Lonchura striata: one gene and its partners. The protein of the gene in region 3 purifies or fractionates together with the protein of the main gene of each other region. This does not show direct contact. Links are inferred from orthologs where the notes say so. Each region holds a gene or a part of one and is shown on either strand. Other genes may lie near its edges. The genes, in order: APBA2, KLC1 and CLSTN1.

Evidence for each region.
Region 1: the proteins of CLSTN1 (region 3) and APBA2 purify together in Homo sapiens (affinity purification with western blotting; 3 studies listed by BioGRID and IntAct, with this or other methods). This does not show direct contact. The link is inferred for Lonchura striata from reciprocal best matches to the Homo sapiens genes CLSTN1 and APBA2.
Region 2: the proteins of CLSTN1 (region 3) and KLC1 purify together in Homo sapiens (co-immunoprecipitation; 3 studies listed by BioGRID and IntAct, with this or other methods). This does not show direct contact. The link is inferred for Lonchura striata from reciprocal best matches to the Homo sapiens genes CLSTN1 and KLC1.

The regions. Positions count from the first base shown.
Region 1 is NC_134613.1:9,538,688-9,545,711, reverse strand, and holds the start of APBA2 (amyloid-beta A4 precursor protein-binding family A member 2), read right to left. Parts: upstream 3,014-7,024; 5' UTR 2,849-3,013; intron 1-2,848. UniProt on the Homo sapiens protein: Putative function in synaptic vesicle exocytosis by binding to STXBP1, an essential component of the synaptic vesicle exocytotic machinery. May modulate processing of the amyloid-beta precursor protein (APP) and hence formation of APP-beta.
Region 2 is NC_134608.1:9,984,703-9,991,636, forward strand, and holds the start of KLC1 (kinesin light chain 1), read right to left. Parts: upstream 3,030-6,934; 5' UTR 2,716-3,029; intron 1-2,715. UniProt on the Homo sapiens protein: Kinesin is a microtubule-associated force-producing protein that may play a role in organelle transport. The light chain may function in coupling of cargo to the heavy chain or in the modulation of its ATPase activity.
Region 3 is NC_134626.1:1,483,927-1,491,451, reverse strand, and holds the start of CLSTN1 (calsyntenin-1), read left to right. Parts: upstream 1-4,443; 5' UTR 4,444-4,512; coding exon 4,513-4,579; intron 4,580-7,525. UniProt on the Homo sapiens protein: Postsynaptic adhesion molecule that binds to presynaptic neurexins to mediate both excitatory and inhibitory synapse formation.

The DNA of each region.
Region 1 (7,024 bases), on a different chromosome or scaffold from region 3:
AAAGTATTTTACTTGTATCTAGTCTGAACCTTTATTTCAACATATGCCTTTTGTCTCTCATTCTTTGGCACATGCCACTGTGTAGAGCCTGGCTCCAGTTCCCTGAGGAACTCTTATAAGGACTGGAAGACTGCTGTTAGGTGCCCCCATAGCCTCCCTTCTGCAGGCTGATCAAGTCCCACTCCCTAACCCTCTGCTCAGAGCTCAGCCTCCAGCCCCAGCCACTTCAATGGCCTCTGCAGAACCCCAGGTCTTCAATAACTTCCTTTACTGGGGGACCAAAACTGGACCCAGGGTTATAAACATCACCTACTGAGCAGAAGGGAATAATCACTTCCCTCGATGTCCTGGCTGCACTGTTGTTCATACAGACCAGGATGCTCCTGGCTCTCTCTGTTGCCAGGGGTTGTGGCTGGTTCATGTCCAGTTTGCTGTCCACCAGGACCTCTGGGCCTTTTTGGCAGGGCTGCTTCTCAGCCTCTACCATTGCAGTGCTTAAAGCATGAAATAATTGCCTTGTTTATTTAAACACAGATTACAAGGGAAATGGATATAAAAACTCTGCAGAAGCACCTGAACTCTGATGTGTTCAAAGGCTACCACCAAGATTAGTTCTGAACAAAACCAGAATCCTCTATATCTCTCTGTGAGCTGGTAGCTTGGAACAGGTTACTTTTTCTAATTTCTCCACCCTCAGCACAGGAATATTAACTGAAAGATGGTTAAACCATGGTATTTTCACAAATTACTTCTTAGCAAATCTTCTTAGCAGAACAGCTCGAGAGATGGCAAAATTATGCTTCTTGAAGTGGTTTCTCATGTTCACAGCCTTAAGCAAAGGTCACTTTTCAAAGACCTAGCTTGTTTTAATTCATGTCCAGTCCCCAGCCTGAACCAGCATTAATCAAGTATCTACACAAAACATGCTTATCGAGATTCCTCCTTGGAACTGTAATACTTTGACCAAAAGAGCTGAGCATCTATGGCTTTTGCAAGAACACTTTTCCTTTACTATCAGAGGATCAAGAGAGAGCAATAATGTAGCTGATTATGCATTTTTAATATAGCTTCAGATATTTCCAAGTGCAGATATGGGCTAAACTATCAGAGATTTCGAAACTGACAGTCAGGGTTTATAAGGACAGTTCTGCAGCATGAAATCCTATGAACTTATGAAATGGACTAAGGACAGTGGCTTCAATTTCAGCAGTTTAGCTCTCATAGAACAACGTATGAAAGAAAAGCTCTTTCATCTTGTCTGTCCCATATGGAGAAGAACCAGGATGATAATGATAAATTGTCATCTTATGCTTGACATAAATGTCAATCTTTTGCTTCTCAAACACATAACCTGCATATACTGTATTTTAAGTGGCAATAAGGACTTAAACTAGAATTCCTCCCCTTTAAAACAATGTTATATTTGAAACGCTGAGGCTTACACAGAACGACAAAAAACTATGACAGTAATTGGTTCTTTTCTTCAGTTCTACTTATTAATTAATGAGGGATTCTTGGGTAGCAGGCATAATAGATAAATACCTTTTCTGCAAACAGATTTCCCAGCCCCTCCTGGGAGATTATAGGGCCAAGTAATACAACTGAAAAAACTACTTGCATTTTTCCAACTGGTCACAGTAATTTCAGACTTTTCTTAAACATCACTGCAATGCACATTATCTCTGTACTATACACGTTGTATGATCTCTTCAGTTAAATTTCTTTTCTTGTATGTCCTCACTAGCATGCAACAACCACCAAAACAACTCTGAGGATGCAAAGTGTGTAAATCTGAAAGCACAGACTGCCAGTTGAGGCAAAATAAGGCAGTCTTTGACTTTCCAAGATGCAGCTCTAAATGCAGTATTCCCTTCCTTTCCCCCACCCCCATCCCTTTTGTTATGGCAATACAAGGCACCACACACACATATTCAAAAAACTGTTCAATAAGAGGCAAACAGACCGTGCTATACTATCTCATGTTGTTTATCCCAACAAGAATCAGATATTCTTAATTGAGCACCCTTTTCCCTCCAGATTTCATGATTAAGGGAACGGGGAAAGAGCAGATCAAAGACTGATCCCTTTGCTACAGTGGAGACATGAAACCAGAACCAAATACAAACTCCGAGCGGTGCTGCATTACAGGAGGGCTCCTCTCGCTTTTCTTTTCACTCGTATTAAGACAAACGGACTTAAGCCTCCCGCCCTGCCACAAAACGCTGACATGATGCGGATGCTGCACGGCCGGTGCCCGCGTTACCCGGAGCCGCCGTCCCGGCACGGCGGGGCTGAGGCGGCCGGGCCGGGCTCGGAGCTCGCACCGTCCTGCGGGAGCCGAGCGGAGCCGCAGCCCGGCCCGGGGGATCGCCGCCGGTTCTCCCCCGCCTGGCGGGGGGCGGTGGCGGCGCCTCCCCGGGCTCAGCGGGGACAAGCGGGAGTGCGGCAGCCCCCGGTGCCGGGGCCCCGCGCCGCCCATCGCGACAGCGCGGCCGCTCCGCCATGCCGCAGGGGCTCCCCTTCACCCCGGCTTCCCGTCCGCTTGCGGGCAGCTCGGTTGCCAGGGGATGGGGATGAGGATGGAGATGAGGATGGGATGGGGCGGGGGTAGCCGCTCGCGGGGAGAGCAGCCCCCAGCCCCGGTTCGAGGGGAGCCCCGGCCGTGCTGCCGCGGGGCGGGCGCGTGCCCGGGGGCTCCCCGCTCCCCTGAGGGCACCCGCGGGATGCTGCCGCCCCACCCGCGACGGAGCCGCCGGTCCCGCGACGACCCCGGCCGGCGGTCGGTCGGTCGGTCGGTCGGTCGGTCGGTCGGTCGGTCAGCCCCCCGCCCTGCGCCCCCCGTCCTTACCGCGGTGCAGCGGCGGCGCCGGTCCCGAGCAGCGGGGCAGCCGCAGCCGCTCTTTTGTGTGGCTGCCGAGCGCCGCACACCGCGGCGGGCCCGCCCGGGAACCTGCCTGCGCCAGCGCCCGGGAACCTGCATGGCGCATAGCGCCCGCGCCGCCTCCCGGCCCCGGCGGCAGCGGGGGGCGGCCGCGGCCCCGCGCAGCCCGGCGGGCTCGGCGGGACGCCCCGGCCCGCCCGCCTTCCAGCTCCGCACCGGCGGCCGGGCACTGCGCCAGCTCCGCCTGTACCGCGCCCTCAGAGGCGTCCAGCGACAGGACGAGGAGCAATGGCCATAAACTGAAGCACGAGTTTCACCTCAGCGTGAGGGAGAGCTTGACACTGAGGGTGGCAGAGCCCTGGCAGAGCTGCGCAGGGGGGCTGTGGGGTCTCCCCGTCTGAAGACACTCGGAACCGGCCGGACGCGTTCCCGTCACCTGCTCCAGGTGGCCGTGCCTCCCAGCCCGGGCAGTCCTGACTCGGTGACCGTGTCCGGACGCGGGCACTGAGAGCAGGCCCCGCCAGCTCCGCTCCCGAGCCCCGGGCAGCAGCTGCCGCAGCGCTGTTTGCTGCACGCCCGCATCCCGCTGTGGCACTCGGCAGGGCCACCCTGATTCCCCAGGGATCTGCTCTGGTGCTGGGCCGGAGCTGAGGATGTTTTCTCGGAGTCTCCACAGCATCTCTCTGCGAATTACATTCCTGAATGCCGTGTCATCCTGCTAGGTGTTCACCTCACCTCTCCCTGTTGCTTGAGGTGCTTCAGCACAACAAAGCCCCAAACACCAAAAGTTTGACCATTATAGCAAGGGACAGCACTGGACTCAGTCACATTCCATCACACAGCCAGATTTATGAGGACAAATCATGATTTTTGTGCCCTTGTGCAAATAATACATAGATCCACCCCTAAAGTTTAATGTAGGATTCAATGTGTACTATTTAAAAGCTCACTGAAGTTTCTCCAAGAACATTTCTTACAGTGGATGATAAACACAGTTGGTTCCTCAGGCCTTTTATTGAAACCTCTAGATATTTTTAGGGCAGCTAGGTGATAGTGACTATTTTGTATATAAAGAAACACATATCTTAGAGCAATTCTGACAGGCTTTGCTAATAATTGTGCAAATTTGAGATAGCAGCTAATCTTTCTCACTATAGCAAAAGTAAAAAGCTGTCCTAATGTAATGATACTGCACTACAACCAGCTAGGTATCAGTGTTTACGGTAATAGCTGTGTGCTCAGCGTGGGGTTGTTCATTTTGCTCTCGTGTTAGTATCAAGACACATTCCATGTACATGCAAAGGTCCTTCATGGAAACACCTTTTTGTGGTTTTGTTTTGTTTTGGTTTTTTTAGTTGTTAAGATTTTTAAGGTTTAGTTGTTAAGATTTTTGTTAAGACTCTCCATTTGCTGCTAAGAGGCTATTTTCTGGCATGGTTTTCTATGGTGTCTTTTCCCATCTGTCCCTTTCTATATCCCAATTACTGGACAGATTTTGGTTTTCTTTTGAAGATACTGAAAACTCAAAACATTACCCAAACTGTAATACATGTATGTTTTACACAGAACTGCAGTGTATCTACATATATAACCTATAGGCAGGTTGTTTAAGCATTTGGCAAGTGATCTTTTGAATTATTAATTATCAAAATTGTTAACTTGATGAAACAGCCTCTTATACATAATAAAGTCTCACTTTATCAAAATACCAAAAGCAGTATTTCCAGCCCAATAGGGCAGATGTTTTCTTTATGAAGTTACGGCAGTTGCAGGTATTGTACCACAATTGACCTCTCAAAGACTTCAGAGGTCCCAAAGGAAGTGGGATGTATCTTTTAACTTTTTAAAATTTAAGTTTCTAACAAACATTCTCCCTCCACATCATTTTGGAGACAGTGATTCAGACAGATGGTTATTATAGAAAATTACATACCAAAATGGAAGGTAAAAATAGGGTGCATAATACCAATCCTGGAACATACCTCTCTTACTCTTCAATTTCTGGAAATAATCATTTCCATAAAAGCCAGCCATGGGTGCAGAGTTGGATATTCCCCTTATTTAATGCAAATTGTGCATCATCATACATGCTTTCAGTGTACCTGCAGTTGCAAATTACTTCAGATCTTAAAATTATGTTTTGAACCTGTCTTTATTACTGAAAAAAATGTAATGTTAAAAATAAGTAAAAATTTTCATTAAATATCTACTTTATAGAAGATTTTAATACCTATTTACTATTTTTGTTTTAGCAGTAACAGCTGAAAGGCCACTTCAGATCTAGAAAAGTTATTAAATGTTTCAAAATGTATCATTATGTTAAAATGTATCAGAGAACTCTTCCTCATTACTATGCTAAGAACATTGCAGTTAGCAGTGCTTTTTGACAATATACCAGACAGTGAAAACAAACATTAACAGTTTACATAATATTATAGATATTTAAGGATTATACAAGATATAAATATCCCTCCTTCACAATAAGATAAATATTTATTTCATAATTTGTTCAAGGTGCTTTGAAGATGCTTGTCAAAGGTGACAGATTTTGCATTCCTAAGTGGTTGAGGTCTTCCATTGCAAAATGTCAGCCCTAGGTTGATTAATTTATATATTGTTGTTAGTTCCTATTTTCATATTCATTAACTAGTTGAACTTGATGATCTTATTCTGTTTGACAGCCTCAATTTGGCCAGCATGACAAGTGCTTTGGTAAAAGAACTGATATTGAAACAATTCTGAGTTTTTCTATTAGTTAAGGGTTCTTACATCCAACACACCCATCTCACATCACTACAGGAAGAATTCCTTGTAAGGACAGAGTCAAATGAAGTGTCACTGTCCATACACTCCTACTGTAAGTACCTCAACCAGATAATGTAAGCATCTCTATGTTTCATGGTCTTTCTATGAGACTTCAGGTTGATATGGTAATAATGAAAGCAACAGAATTCAGAATGAAATTCGGGTGCATTAATTGCAGAATAAGCATGACAGGAACAGAGTTTTTGCAGAATTGCAAAACTGTAAGGTTAGCTTTTAAAAGGCATAAAGTTAGTTTTTTTCACAGCATTTTAAGTTTGCTTCTAGGTTTGTCTCATCATAAGGAATGGGATTCATTCTGCAGCCTCTTCACCTCCTCCCACCTAGGAGTGACTTGAGGATTGCAGAGAGGAAGTAAAAAAAGATATTTTGCATCATTTAATTATGAGCTCTTTAGCTGCCTGAGTAATGTTGATGGAGTCCAGAAAAATGTATCTTGTCTGCCTTAGGCAGTATAAAATAGGAACACGCTTCAGCTCAGAGGGGAAAAGAGGCACATGGAGAGATTAGAACAGGGAACTTGCACTTAACTAGTGGCAAAAGCATGAGAAAATTTACTGGCAAAATACTAACACTCCATCTTCTGAGAAGCTTGACATCAGAGAAGAAGGTTTTGCTGTTTTAAAAAATCCACCAAACAGACAAAAACCAAAAAAGATTAAATACTGTCAAAAACTATTTCCCTTCCAAGATAATCAGGCTCCAGTTATTTGAATCACTGTTGTTCTTCCCAGAAGTTGTAAAATGATGCAACAGGAGTGTATTGTTAAATGCCCCTCCACTGAAAGGAGCAAATCACAGCTCTCTTGTTCCCCAGTTTCCATCCCTGAACTTCCAGTTTTTCTGGGTGTTACTCCCCTCTTATAATCATGGTAGTGACAAAGAGTAAGGCCTATGTAAGTAAGCCTTGTCCCAACCCCTTGGTAAGTCAGAACAACAACTTGTATAGGCTGCCTGCTTTAAGGTGAAGGACTACACAGTTGATAGAGGTTGATTCTGTTCCTACTGAAGTCTAAGGGAGTTAAGTTTATAACCAGGAAACCTCTCTCAGCTGTAGCTGTCTTCAGATCATATGCAGCTGTAGCTCCCTTGGCTATTCTCTAAGTCTGCAGCTCCAGAAGGGGAAATTCTCCTGTCCTGTAGCACATACCCAGACAAGTAAGGGGGTCTGATCCCATCAAATTTTAAGAGCTTGTGAGAACATGATCCAGTTTTGTGTACTGACTAATCTGCAGACCTAAACTCTCTTTTGCAGGGCTGGGGTTGTCTGTGTGTGTGTTGGAATTTTCTTGATTTCCACCTTAGGAATAGTCACAAAAA
Region 2 (6,934 bases), on a different chromosome or scaffold from region 3:
TACAAAGAATGTTAATTTAACTAGACTTAGCATGCTTGTCCCCATCACTGTCCGTGATGCTGCACTTCAACAGTGAATACAAAAGTACACTTTGCTTATTTATGAATTTACCCAAATTTCTGTATTTTTTACTCCGCTTACGGAAACTTTATTTGACAAGTATTTGTACACTGAATTGAGTTTTAAAATAATCATGAGCTATGCAGCTGGAGAGATGCTGTTAATCCCAGAGTAAATTCAATTGCACGTCTCCCAGAGAAGTCAAACAGAAGAAGAGATGAAAGAGTAACTGCACAAGCCCACATTTCAAGAGAAACAGAAGCTACATTAAATGGACTCAGAACTGAATATAAGGCTACATTATTTCCCCAAACCCCCAATTAAATAGGAGACATATGCAGATATGTATGCATACACAAAAAGATACAGAGAGAGAGAGAGATATGTGTACTGTATGAGCAGCACATGAGTGAGAGGTCTCTGACATTAGCATGGCAAGTTCTCCATAAACACAGGAAGCAGCAATTGTCCTTATATGCCTTAAACATCTGTCCAGTGTATTTTGTTCTATGTCAAAAACATTCAGATTGTGCTTGGGACTCCTGCACATTTAATTACAAATTATGTATGTGAGTCCTCTGTTGTATATTAGAGACCTTTTAAAATAATCCATTCCATTAATAAGGCATTATTAACCATATAATAGGAATTTGACAAACCATGAGGCTACTTCACAGGGCCTTTGGGGGGTAACTTTATTCTCTGTTTTAATTATATATGGTAGCAAGTAAAGGGAATCTGTGCACTAATTGCTGTTAGAATTTCTGACTACTGGAATTCTTCAGCTCCATCATCATCCTTCAGAAACATGAAGGCTGCCAAACTTGAACTGCAACATGATGCAGAAGTGATACTGCATTGATGAGCCAGTTTCAGGAACAGACAATTTAAATTTCCTGCACTTGCCCACATGCTTCTCCATTATGTGAAATGTCTACCTAAATGGAGCTGCCAGAATTCTCCATAGCTGTTCTAATTTCATGGAAAAGGTCCTCCTGAACCATGTGGTCACAAAAATAATTGCGCAAGTGACTTACAAGGTCTTCTGCTCAGCCTCACCAGATGGATCAGCTTTCTCTCTGCTGCCAGTAAATGCTGAATGTGTAACTTCCAATTGTATCTGTAATCCTAGGGTTATAACATCCTCTATCATGTTTCGCTGAAGCTTTGGAATTCATACTCAATTAAAATAAAGCTATCTTCCAAAAGAGTTTTAAACCAACTGTGCACTCGAAAAGGTGCTGCTTTCAGTTTAGTAGGGATTTTTTTTTAATCAAAATGCGAAGCTGTCTAAATTCTCAACAGCTCCTCTTTATCTTCCAATGGACACACTTTGTACATAAGTTTCCTATTTAAGTGATGAGCAAATGCAAAAGTGGAAGTGAAAGAGACAATTACTTTGCAGAGCAATTTTTGTTAAACCTTTTGTCAAGCACAACACAGCTAAAACTGAATCTTAACTGGTTTAGTTTCTTCTATTATGTCTAAACATGAAAGCATGTTATATGAATGACACTGGCTCACTATTTTGCTGTTCAAATCAAACTATAAAAACAGACTTTTGCTTTTTCCTAGTCAGTTTTGTTTTCTGAGTCTGTATTCTGACTTCATGACCAGTATCTTGAGTACTGATACTACTTTTACATCATATCCATTAATGGAAATTACTTAATACAAAAAAAAACTTATTAAGAGCTCCATCACTGATTAGCCACCTTCAAAAGCCACACAAGAGTATTACACTAGGTGATGCCACATTGGTCATTAAAATGTGCTTCAATATGCCTAGAACACAGAATTCAATAAGTGTTAAGAACTTTCCTTATTCTGATTACATACAACTGCTATGCAGATCTATAAATACGGCATCTTGTTACTTAGAAATATCAGAAAGACAAAAGCAAAATGAATAAGGTTTTAAAGTGTCCTTCTAATCAATCTCTGCTCTAAAGATACAGTTAGTTATCAATTAAATAAATTCTATATTTTTGCTAGATTAACGCGTTTCTAACCAATGCTTGCCTTATTCTGAGGGTGCAGAAATCCAGGCAAGACCTAAGTCTATATGAATCGCCTCCGACTACAGCAAGGCAGGTGACCTACAATGTATAAATCCGGTCACTGTGTACAAAGCCCAGAGAAGACCTGTCCTCGCCTCGCCCTCCAGCAGCTCGGACCTGGCAGCGGCAGAGCGCGGAGCCGGGGGAGCGCAGACAAAGCGCCGCACGCCCGGGGCCGCAGGCCGAAGCCTCCCCAGCCCTCTGCCCGCTCCCTCCCAGGGCGGCGCCCGCCGCAGCACCGAGGGGAGCCGGGAGAGGAAACGGGGACAAAGCCGAGCCGATCCCCATCCTCAGGCACGTACCCCTGCCCGCAGCCGAGCGCAACTGACAAAACGCCCAAAAACAGCCTCCCCAAAAAGCCACCCCGCCCTGGGCGCGGAAGGACGGGGCCGGCTGTCAGCGGCGGCGCCGCGGGGGCACCGGGCGGCCCGCGCAGCCTTTTGTTATTTGCGCAGCGGCGGATGAAAAGGGAGGGGAACTGAACGCCCCAGGCACCCGCACCCAAACACACACGCACATACACACATACACACATACACGCACACACACACACACACAAACCCCGCGTCCCGGCCCTGCGGCTCCCCCCGCTCACCGCTCGGTGCTGCAGCTCGGGCGATGTGCGCAGCGCTCGCTGGGGCGGCGGGGGCCGCGCAGCCCGGGGCGGGGAGGCGGCCGGAGGAGGATGTCAGCGATGGGCGGGCGAAAGGGAGGAAGGAAAAGGGTTTTTTGGGGGGAGAGAGGAGCGGAGAGAGGGAGGGAAGGCGAGAAAGAAGCGAGTCAGCACCACGGCGCGCCCAGTGCTCCCCGCAAGGCGCTGCAGGGCCGCGGTGGTCGGCGCCGGCGGAGCGGGCGCTGACAGCTGCCGGCAGCCGCCACCACCGCCCCGGCTGCTGCTGCTGCGGCTGCGGCCGCCGCCCCGGTCCCGGTCCCGCCCCGCGCTCCCCTCCCTCCTTCCCTCCCGCCCCGCCTGACATGGCGGCGCCCCCCTTCTCCCACAAGCGCCCGCGCGCCCTTCTCTCCCAGCGCCCCCCTCACGGCGCCATCCCTGCCCGGGAGCGGCGGCGCCGCGCGGGATGCTCGGCGCAGCTCCGGGCTTCAGGGGCATCCCCGAGGCTGCCAGTGCAGCCGCGCTAAACCTCGCTAGGATTTGCCTCAAGTGGATGTCAGTGCAGAGCAGATCCCGGCGTTTCCTCGGGGCGCCCTGGGTGACACCGGGGCGGTTTCGCTCCACTGCTGGTGCTCTTGGCGCTGGTTTGACCTACTCCCGTGGAGAGAAGTTCAGGGTTATGGTAACTGCAGGACTCGTGAAACTGATGTCCCCATCTCAGTTGGATGCCTCTGGGAAAATCTTCCACGCCCTTTAAAAAGGACATTGAGGTGCTGGAGTGTGTCCAGCAAAGGGCAGCAAGGCTCGTGAAATGTCTAGAAAACGTGTCTTATGGGGAATGGCTGAGGGACCCGAGTTGGTTTGGTTTCAAGACGAGGAGGCTCAGGAGGAACCTCATCATTCTCTGGAATAGGTTGCCCGGGGAGCTGGTGGAGCCACCACCCCAGAGGTGATAAGAGGCACCTGGATGTGGCACTGGGCAATGTGGTTTAGTGGTCATGGGGTTACAGGGGCAGTGCTGGGTAGATGGTTGAACTGGAAAATCATGAGGGTCTCTTCCAACCATGACTTCATGAAATATGCTTGAAAATCCCCGCAGTTTGCAACGGCTCAATGGAGCGAGTCACAGAGAAATAAGCTGAAGGAGAAGTACTGTGTTAAAGGTTGCCCACCACACAGAGCTCAGTGAGTGTTGCCAATATATTTCAATGCCTTCATCTTTGTTCTGCGGGGAAGTAAGTGAAAGGTCCCTGCTCTTACACATATTTATACATGAAAAGTAAGAGTTCCATGAGAACTCAGTGACACTTGTCACAAGAACTATTTATTTGCAGCTTCCAATTTCATTCCCACTCTTGCTAGAGAGGAAGGAACAGCCACAGTATTTTCATGTTATGTTCCACTAGTTAGACGTTAAGCCCAGAAAGGAAAGATGGAGGGAACTGAGGTATAAGATAGAAAAAAAATTAAAATAACCATTCAAAAACCCAAACAAACAAACAATACAACAAAAACAAAGACCCCCCCAAAAAAAAAACCAAGCACTCAAAACATTAATTATAGCAAAGCTGTAAAATGTACACTGTAAATCATCAGGGATTAGTGACAGCCTAACTTTATGAAAGAGTTGTATTGTGATGCATTATCACCTGAGCTCCACATAGAATAGAATAGCATTGTTCAGTGGAAGGGGACCTGCAATATGTACAGGGTGTGAATCATAACCTAATAGAAGAACATAGAGGTATAGTGGTAAATCAAAATATGCAGCCTCACCTAAGTGGTAATATTTAAAGTATTAAAGGAAAGCAGAGCTTGCATATGTTTGCCCTCATGTACAATGCTGAGCAAGTCTACAGAATAGATGTGAGAACAAGAGTCGGGTGAGAAAGCAAGGCTCCTAAGAATAAGCAGGAAGTCAGAAGAGGAATCAAAGCTAATGCTGTTGTCAAAGAGGCAGAAGAACAGGAAGAGTCACAGAAGCCCACAAGAAACAAAGCAAAGTTAGGGGAACATAGATAGTCTTCAGACTGTAAATACAGAGAATCATTGCTGGATTTGAAAAGCTGAGGGAAATAAAGTATACTTACTGAATTCCACTCTCTGATTGATATTTTACACAGATCCAGCTGTCCAGCAAAACCCAGTTTTGATACAAGTATTTCCAAGCAGCAGTTCTTGTATTCTTCATCTCAATTTAAAACTTTTCTCTGGCAATTTTATATTAATGGTTTAATTAACCACATTTTAGTTTTAACAGGCAATACAACCTAATTATAACAGTGTGAAATATCTCTTTGCACAGTAATACGAAAGGGGGAAAAAGATTGAAGGGCATTCCCTTACAGAAACTACATTTTAAAGAGTTATACCAATTGGTTCACAGGTTCAGAGTATTCTCATGAATATGCAAGAGCTTTAATTAAAAATAGAACATGCCCTAATTACATAATTATGCAAGAGAACTGATTCAAAGGAACCACTCCTGCCTTTTGAATAAACAATATTCATTGCTTTCTTCCTATCACACATTTTCTTTAAAAGATTTCCTGCAATTAGCTGCTTACCCCAGGGATATGAGCATCCCTGAACAAAGCAACTACTCCAGCTATGACCCTGATTCATAATATGCTGGCTAATCAAGTATATGCATCCTGGCAATTTCCCACATAAACAGCACACACTATAAGCTCTCTCCTGCAGGAAGGTTGATTAGCTCAATGGAACTATAGTGCAGTTTACTCCTCTGTGTTTATGGCACACAGCAGAAGCTAGACACAGGAGAGACTTGGTGAAGATGATTTTTCCTCAAGCTACTGCCTGACCTGAAATATCCAAAGAGTTCCTCTTCATTTGGATCTTGTTTTTCCTGTCTCATCTACATGAGAATTATCCAGGTTCATCTAGCAGTAAAAACTATTCACTGCCCACATTTCCATTTTATCTTAAGGAACTGGTTATGCTGCAAGCCCTGATTTTTTGATTAAATTATCGAGATATGCTGTCTCTAGTATATTATGAAATCACAGAGTCAATTAGGTTGGAAAAGACCTCTGAGATTATCAAGCCCAACCTATGACCTAACACAACCATGTCAACTAGACCATGGCACTAAGTGCCATATCCAATCTTTACTTAAACACCTTCAAGGATGGTGACTCCTATGATCCTTTGCCTATCACCAGCAAAGTCACCATTGTTTTCTGCAGACTCCTGAGTGCATGCCAAAACAAAACCCCAAAACTAATTATTTACAATGCTGGATTCTTTAGTCTCAATATTCCAATTTCCCTCTACTCCCAGAAGAGAGAGGGAGGTTTGTAATGCACAGTGGGAGAGCAAAAAGCAAACAGTTCAACTAATGCAGCACAAAGCTCTGTGGTTTTTGAAGTGCAACAGTGTGAGAAATACACACAGTGAACTGAGGTCAGCTTACCTGACATTCAGAAATGGGGCAAACCTCTAAAGAAATTCAGGTTCACTTCCTTTAAGAAGTGTGGGTCATTTTATTTTACAGTTTGTGATGGGTTGACAGTGGCCAAATGCCACCAGCACACCATTGTACTAAAAAAATACATCCTTCTGTCTTAGAGGATCTTCCCATCCAAAGAGATTTTTTTTTTTTAATCTAATCTTATAGTCTATAAAATCTATGACATAATTTTAGAAATATGGCCACAATAAAGTACTATATTGGAGTAATTTTAACTGCTGCTAAACTGCTATTTAAAAGCATCCTGGCAATAATAAATATTGAAAGGCCAGATTCAGCAATCTGGCTGGTTTTTCATCAAAACCACTTGACAGTTGCATATGTTTTAGTTTGTATTTCCTACAAGAACATCCTTTATGGAAAAGAGGAGACATAAAAACCAGTGCTCAAGACTCAGAAATGTCAAGCACCCAGTCCTAGGCACAATTTTAGCCCAACTCTTTTCTTCATATGTACAATTACTGCATGCAGAGCTACCTTTTTGTGAGAAAATTCAGGCACTTTGGGGTAAAAGGAGTGTGTTTTGCTTTGCTTGACTCATTGTCAAATGCCTGAACTTACCATTGGGAACCTACTGTCAGGCAAGGCATTAATTCTTAGTAAAATAAACACTGATCATGGTCCTGCTTCCCAAGTCAATAAGCTTTATTTACATGCAAGTGAATTCTTCTTTTTCAGAGTCACAAGGATTTCTAGGAAGCTGTAACAAAT
Region 3 (7,525 bases):
TTTCTCAATGCAGTTCTAGACTGTTTGAAGTTTGGGCTCTTTCCCTGTACAAATCCCTTCAAACAAGAGGCAAGTCTAATGTCCAGAAGTAACAGTGAATATTCTGCATGTATTCAAAATAATTTGTGATCTGAACTCTAACAAGCAGATCCGGATTTGATGTTGATGCACCCGAGCACGTCCTGCTGCTCCCTGTATTCAGTGTGCATTGCCTGCCTTTCAGGAGCAAGCAAATGCATTCATTTCTCCCTATCACCCTATCTTTCCTGTTCTGGCTGCTCAGCTCCACTCTGACAAGCACAATAAATGTGTCCTCCTGGGTCCTTGCAAGCCAGGCATTAGTCACACTGTGCATTTCAAGGACATCAGGCCGATAGGTTTTCAGCTGAAACAGAAAACATGTCCTGCCAGGAGCCATTTGTTCCAGTTTTGTTGCTTACCAGTAAAATAAAGATCAATGGTTTTTTGGAACCAGAGAAGCAGGTCAGAGAGTAGGAGGGAGATAAGTGGTAAAATGAAGTTGCTGAAGTTAGTTCCCTGAATTTCTCTGAAATAATGGCATGTGGCATTTGGGATAGAATGAGGATCTCTGTCAGCGTGGGAAATGAGTTTCCTCTGGCAGACAGGAGGAACAGGACAGCTCTTGCCTAACAGCAGACAGGACTGGTGCACAGCAGGTCCCACACTGGGTGATTGAAATCAAATTGAGCTTTGTGAAACAAAATGAGAGGATGTTGTATTTGCCGCACTTCCAGAGTAAGTGCCAGTGCAACATCTGTGGTGACAGGGATCAGGATTTCATGTGGCTGCCTCACCTCATCCTGTCTGTATCAGCCTCTCAACTGCCTGTTCAAACCTCTGCCACCCAAGGAAATAAAGCCATTGAATTGATCCTAAAATACAGCCTAAAGAATTGTTTGCTTTACTGAATCAGTGCCTTAGTCACAACTGACTCGGAGGAGTTTTGCTTAGAAAGTGAAATGCCATCAATGCCTTCTCCTTCCTTGGAAATTTCCCAGTTTCAGCATGACTGATTCAGCTGATTAATTCATCTGAGCTGGTAGTGTCATTGTGTAATAAATAAGGTTTACCCAGACATAGCATTTCTTCTCTTAAAAGCATTTCCTCTTCCTAATTCTGCAGAATCAGAACAATTTAAACAAGTCCTGATGGTAACACTGAAACCCCTTCTCACTGTGGTCCATGGTGCTCTGTTTTCTCCTGTTAAAATGCATGATACAGCCCTAGTGAAATGCAAAGCACTTTTAAAATGTTGTTTTGCCACACCTAATGATAACTTAGTTCGCAAAAAATGTTTTAATAGAGAATGTGTATGTGAATGCTGACTGGCCAGACATTCAGCCCTCATCAGATACCTTTACATTGACATTAAAGCTGTGTCCATAGTTAGATTCCTAATCAAAATCCAGTATTTGGGTGAGTACTGGGTGTGTATTATGCCATATATTCATCAATGGGCAATCATCTTTCAACTGATGAGATCTTGCCTAGCAAATCTTTACTAATGGGGTGGTTCTTACTCAGACGGTACATTAGTAAGCCTAGTTTGAGAGTCACACTGTGCTGGACAATCCTCCTCTCCACACAAAAGAGAAACACATCATGTAGCACCCTGTCAGCTGAAGCTGCGTTGGCAGAATGTAAAGACTCAGCTCTCTGGCAACAGATGGGCTACAGGCTTCTTCTGACATGATCTGCCATCCAGCATATGTTAGCCAGGCTGAGAAATCAAGGAGGTTTAGACTGAGGCTTTAGCTTTATTTAAAAAAAGGAGATGTCTTAGCTCTTGCTAGAGCAGCTGCCCTACAGTCCATGGAATAACTGGAGTACCTTGGCTAGGGGAGAGCTGCAGGGCACAGGATGGAACGGGGGATGTTCACTGTCTTGGGCCTCAGGGTGCGGCTCTCCAGGCTCTGAAGACAGAGTGAACAGCGAGTAAAAGCGGTTGGTTTTGGGCGTGGAAGAGGAAGAACATTTTTCCTCTGGATGCCCAAATGTACCAGCTTGTACAGACCAGATTCTGTCACCTCCGAGGCCCGAGTGGCTGCTTCAGGGCAGGTTTCTCCAGGTTTCTCACCTTTGCTTTCTCCCCCAACTCGAGTGTGGGGTGACCAGGTAGTGAGCCCTGGGCTTGCCTCAGGACGGAGGAGGAGGCTTTTCCAGCACAGATCAATCTTGGTATTTAAATTGCACAGGAAATAAGGAAATACCACATCTCTAAGATCCTGAACATTCTGGACTTTATTTTTATTTCGCTGTGGGAGTGAAATGGCTAGTAGGTACAAAGCATAAGTACTCAGATCTAATTATAAAATAAGTTGGTTGCATTTTAATTGTCAAAACTCAAAACTCAGATCATGGTATTGATTATTTTTTCCTTTGTTGAAATATTTTCTCATTGGAATTTTGGATAGTAGAGCAAAGAACTTTTCTGTTATAGGACTTGTTCTGTGTAACTTAATGAAAATTATTGATTTATATAGCACTTGGAATTTTTTCCAAACCAGAATAATATTTTCCTTTGATAGAAGTCACAACACTAAAAGGTTTGTTACTCTGCAGGGCAGACTCAGCGATGCACCAAGGTGTGTTTGTGTTTGGACACATTCCTGCAGGATTGCACTTCTAGAGCTGGGAAAACAGCAAGGCAGGGTGCTGGGTTAATGGTTGGATTTCATGATAATAAAGGTCTTTTCCAAACTAAATGATGCTGTGATTGTTTGTGCCCGATGCTTGTAGCACCAGGTGTTGGCAGTTTGTTCATCCGAGCTGCTGACTGGGCTGTGCATCCCATTCCCAGCGTGTCCCTGTACCTGCCTGCCTCTGCCATCAGCTTTGGGTTGGGTGAAACCCAGCGGTCCTGTCTTGTTTTTCTGAAAAGATGTGTGAATATAAGGGCGAAGGCATCAAAATAGCTTTATATGGGGTTAATTATTTCTTAAATAGCTTCATACGGGGTTTAACTCTTCCCAACGACTTGGGGACTTAATCAGCATTTATTAAATGAGCGGTGTGAGGCTTTGGCCAGGCACCAATTGAAATCAGCAGTGTGAGGCTTTAGAGGGGCACCAGTTTAAATCAGCGGTGTGAGGCTTTGGCCGGGCACCAGTTTAAATCAGCGGTGTGAGGCTTTGGCCGGGCACCGATTTAAATCAGCGGTGTGAGGCTTCGGAGGGGCAGCAGGTCCCCTCAGCCGTGTGAGGCGTTGCGGAGGCCGCTCTGCTCCCTCCCCCGGCCCGGTTCTGTCCAGCCCGCGGTACGAAGCCAAACGAAGCCCAGAGCGCCTGAAACAGCGGCGGCGGCGGAGGCGCTGCGGGCCCGGCGGGCGGGAGGTGCCCGTGAGGGAGCACCATGCCGGTGCTCGTGAGGGAGTGGTGATGCCCGTGAGGGAGCACCATGGCGGTGCCCGTGAGAGAGCACCATGCCGGTGCCCGTGAGGGAGCGGCGGTGCCCGTGAGGGAGTGGTGATGCCCCTGAGGGAGCACCGCGGCGGTGCCCGTGAGGGAACACCATGGCGGTGCCCCTGAGGGAACACCATGGCGGTGCCCCTGAGGGAGCGGAGATGCCCGTGAGGGAACACCATGGCGGTGCCCGTGAGGGAGCGGTGATGCCCGTGAGGGAACACCATGCCGGTGCCCGTAAGGGAACACCATGGCGGTGCCCGTGAGGGAACACCATGGCGGTGCCCGTGAGGGAGTGGTGACGCCCCTGAGGGAGCACCACGGCGGTGCCCGTGAGGGAACACCATGGCGGTGCCCGTGAGGGAGCGGCGGTGCCCGTGAGGGAGTGGTGACGCCCCTGAGGGAGCACCACGGCGGTGCCCGTGAGGGAACACCATGGCGGTGCCCCTGAGGGAGCGGAGATGCCCGTGAGGGAACACCATGGCGGTGCCCGTGAGAGAGCACCATGCCGGTGCCCGTGAGGGAGCGGCGGTGCCCGTGAGGGAGTGGTGATGCCCCTGAGGGAGCACCGCGGCGGTGCCCGTGAGGGAACACCATGGCGATGCCCGTGAGGGAACACCATGCCGGTGCCCGTAAGGGAGCACCATGGCGGTGCCCGTGAGGGAGTGGTGATGCCCCTGAGGGAGCACCGCGGCGGTGCCCGTGAAGGAGCGGCGGTGCCCGTGAGGGAGTGCCATGGCAGCGCTGCCGCAGTGCCCTCAGCGCCGGGGGCGGGGCGCGCCGCAGCTCGCGGGGGTCCGCAATGGGCTCTCCCGGCCACCCCCCGCCCCGCGCCGTTGGTTCGCTCCCTCCCCCGCCTGTGCCCGGCGCGGGCCCGGCCGCCATTTTAGGAGCCGCCGGCGGGGTGGGCGGGGGAGGGAGGGGAGGGACGGTGAGCGGAGCGGCGCCGCGCAGCGCTTCTTCTCCTCCCTCCTCCTCTTCCTCCTCCTCCGCGGGGCCGAGCCGAGCCCTCCGCCCGCCGCACAGCGGAGCCCGGACCAGCGGGGGCGCCAGCCGGGGCTGCGCGCTGCCGTCCCCGCTCCGCGCTGCCATGCCGGCCCCCGCCGCCCGCCTGCTGCTCGCCGCGCTGCTCTGCGGAGCGGCCGCGGCCGCTCGAGGTAACGCGGCTGCGGCGGGCGGGGGAGGCTGCGCGGCGCCTTGGCGGCCGTCCGGGTCGCCTGGCGAGCTGCGGCGCGGGCGGGCGAGGGGACGGTGTCCTTGGCGCCCTGCGCAGGGGAGGGAGCGCGGAGGCGGGCGGACACCGAGGGTTGGGGAAGGGGGCAGGATGGAGCTGCGGCCGGGATGACTCCGCCGCGGCCATTGCACCTGCAGAGGGGACGAGCGGATGGCGGCTCGCCCTCCCGGCTCACCTGCGCCCGGCGGCCCCGAGCCGTGCCAGCCGCGGGGGGCCCGGCCCGGCCCGGCCCGGCCCGGCCCGGCCCGGCCCGGCGGGGGATGCGCGGCGGCGGCGCTCGCTGTGTCCGCCCGCCCGTTACATAACGGGGCCCGGGCGGGCGGGGGGCGGCACTTGTTGCCGGGAGGGTCCAGCGGCAGAGCCGGCCGGAGCGGGGATAAAACCCCTGGGCAGGCGGGCCTGGCTGGGCTGGCGTGGGAAAGCTCCGTGCGGGGATGAGCCGGAGCGGCGCCCGGGCCAGCCCGTGCGGGTTGGCGATGTGAGCGCGGGCGTGTGGCTATTGATTGATCCCGAGGAGCAGCAGCATCATACGCATTGCGGGGCTGCTCCCCGGCAGGCTTCAGTGAGAGGCTCGGAGATGCCTCCTCACCTGAAGGTTACCCCTGGCAGCGGGAATGCTGCTTCTGCAAGATTCAGCTGATCGCATGATGAGATTTAAGAGCGTTGAAAAGCAGCGTACATTAGAAGTGCGGCTGTAAAATGGCTTATAAATACCTTGAAGGGAACTTCTAGATCTGAAAAACAGCTCGTTATGGACACATCTTGCTGCAGTTTCCCTGTGTGGGGAGAAGAAGCTGATGCTGTAGTATGTCTCGAAAGTCCTCTGCCAGCTGTTTTGACAGTGGCCATCATTTACCTGTGTAAGATCCCTCGAGTACAATCTGTTCACCAGCGTTCATGTTATCATTAAATGTAGTATTTACTACACCAGTACACAAGCACAGTGTTTTTGAATTCCATCGTTTGAAATTAGGAATAAGATCAAGATCAAAAAACCATTTTCCAAGAAAGCTGCTTGGAAACAAATGGCAGATTCATGCAGCATTACCCAGGACAGCGCTGGTAGGCAGATTTTCTGCAGCTTGTTGGAGGCAGTACCTGTTTTCAGTCAGACCTACAGAGCTGCTGGACTGCAGGTCCTGATCTGTTTAACTTCATCACACATAACTGAGTTACAGAATGAGGGCTGATTCAGTGTAGTATGTGCAGCTGCCTTAGTCCTTGCAGTGTTTTGGCTGCTGTAGGTAGGCCTGTTAATAATATTATGTGGAGATGCACTTAGTGACAAGAAAAGAAAGCTCTGGGCTGCTTGTTTTTATTTCCCTGTTGTTAGGGAAGGCATTTGTTTGGAAGCATTTATGGTAAGCTTTCCATTTTGTGCTGTATTGCTAGTTTCTTTTTTTTTTTTTCCAAGTACAGTTGAACTTGCCAGTTTTGCCATTCCTGTTGTTGGAACAGGGGAGTGAAAAGTGGTTTTGTTTTGTTGATTGTGGAAAGAAAGGGAAATAGCATTTGGGGGATGTGATCTTGCACAAAAAGCAGGTGTGAGCTAGCTGACCTACCATCTTCCCTGTAGTTATTTTAAGGGGTGCAGAGAGTGATTTTTGCGTTCTAAAGAGGCATTTTCCTGTCCAGCTGGTGCAAAACTCCTAATTGAATTTGTTTTGTAATTGATCAAGTTGACCCAAATATTTCTCAGGTGGTTGCAGTGGAAAAGCAGTACCTAGCAGTGCATTGTGGCTGTGTTTGCGGGTGAAGCAGTTGGATGTCTCTGCCCAGAGCAGGCTGGGGAGTGGAATGGAGCAGCTCCGGGAGGAGGAGGCAGCACAGCTCACTGCTGCTGCTTCCCTGGGCCTGACCAGGCAGAGTGGCAGACCTCTGTTGTCTTGGGGCCCTTCCAGCTCACTGTCGTTTAGGAAGGGTATTGATGGAAGGAAGTAATACTATCTTGAAGAAACTTTGCTGATCTGTGATTATTTCAGGAAGTTATGTGGTGCTGTGAATGTCTTAAATCCAAACCACAAACCACTTTGTTACTACCACAGTCTTGCTGCAGATGTTTCTTTGACACAGGAACAGCCTTTTTAATATAGGGCTGGGGATTAGGTAGGTTCTTTCTCCTTTCTAGAGGCAAGGAAATGTAACACTACCCTAAAGCATTATGTAGAGACAATTTGGCTATTTATGTGGCCTGTTCTTTTTTTGTTCTCCAAGTATTTATGAAAGTAAGAAACCACTGAGAAGAGAGAGAGAGAATTAACCAGTGCAAGACCTCTCTACAATATATAGTGCTTGGGAAAGCATTATATACAGCCATCTGTTCATGTAAACAATTTTAATCTCTTTTTCTGTATGTGTTATTTAAAATAATGCACTGCTGTGGAAACTGAAATGGAGGAGAGATGGTCTGGGCAAGCATGGTTTACACTGCATTTTGAATACTCCTGTGCTGGTTGTCTTCTCCCATGTTACCAGGCTGCAGGTTGTGCTGTCTGTGCTGAGGTAGCTGGAAAAATTAACAGAAACTTCTGAATAAATGTATCTTTGGTTTGAGGTTGTAATGTTACTGCAGACACAAAATAACCAATTGCAAATATTTTTTTTAGGAGGTGGAAAGAAGCTGGGCTCATGGGCTTCAGTGTGTCATGAAAGTCAGAAGGGTTGAAGTTAAACCCAGGTCAGGCCACATCTCTGCATAATGTGACCATCCCACAATTTAGAATTCTGATATTCTGGGTAAAACAGTGTTTCCTGCCATGAAGCCCAAGTACGTGATAGCTGAGTGGCTTGCGGCTCTGAAACTGTTATGCAGAGAGGAAGAAACTTCTGTAGTCAATAAAGGTTTCTGAAGAAAAGCTCTTCTGCCATT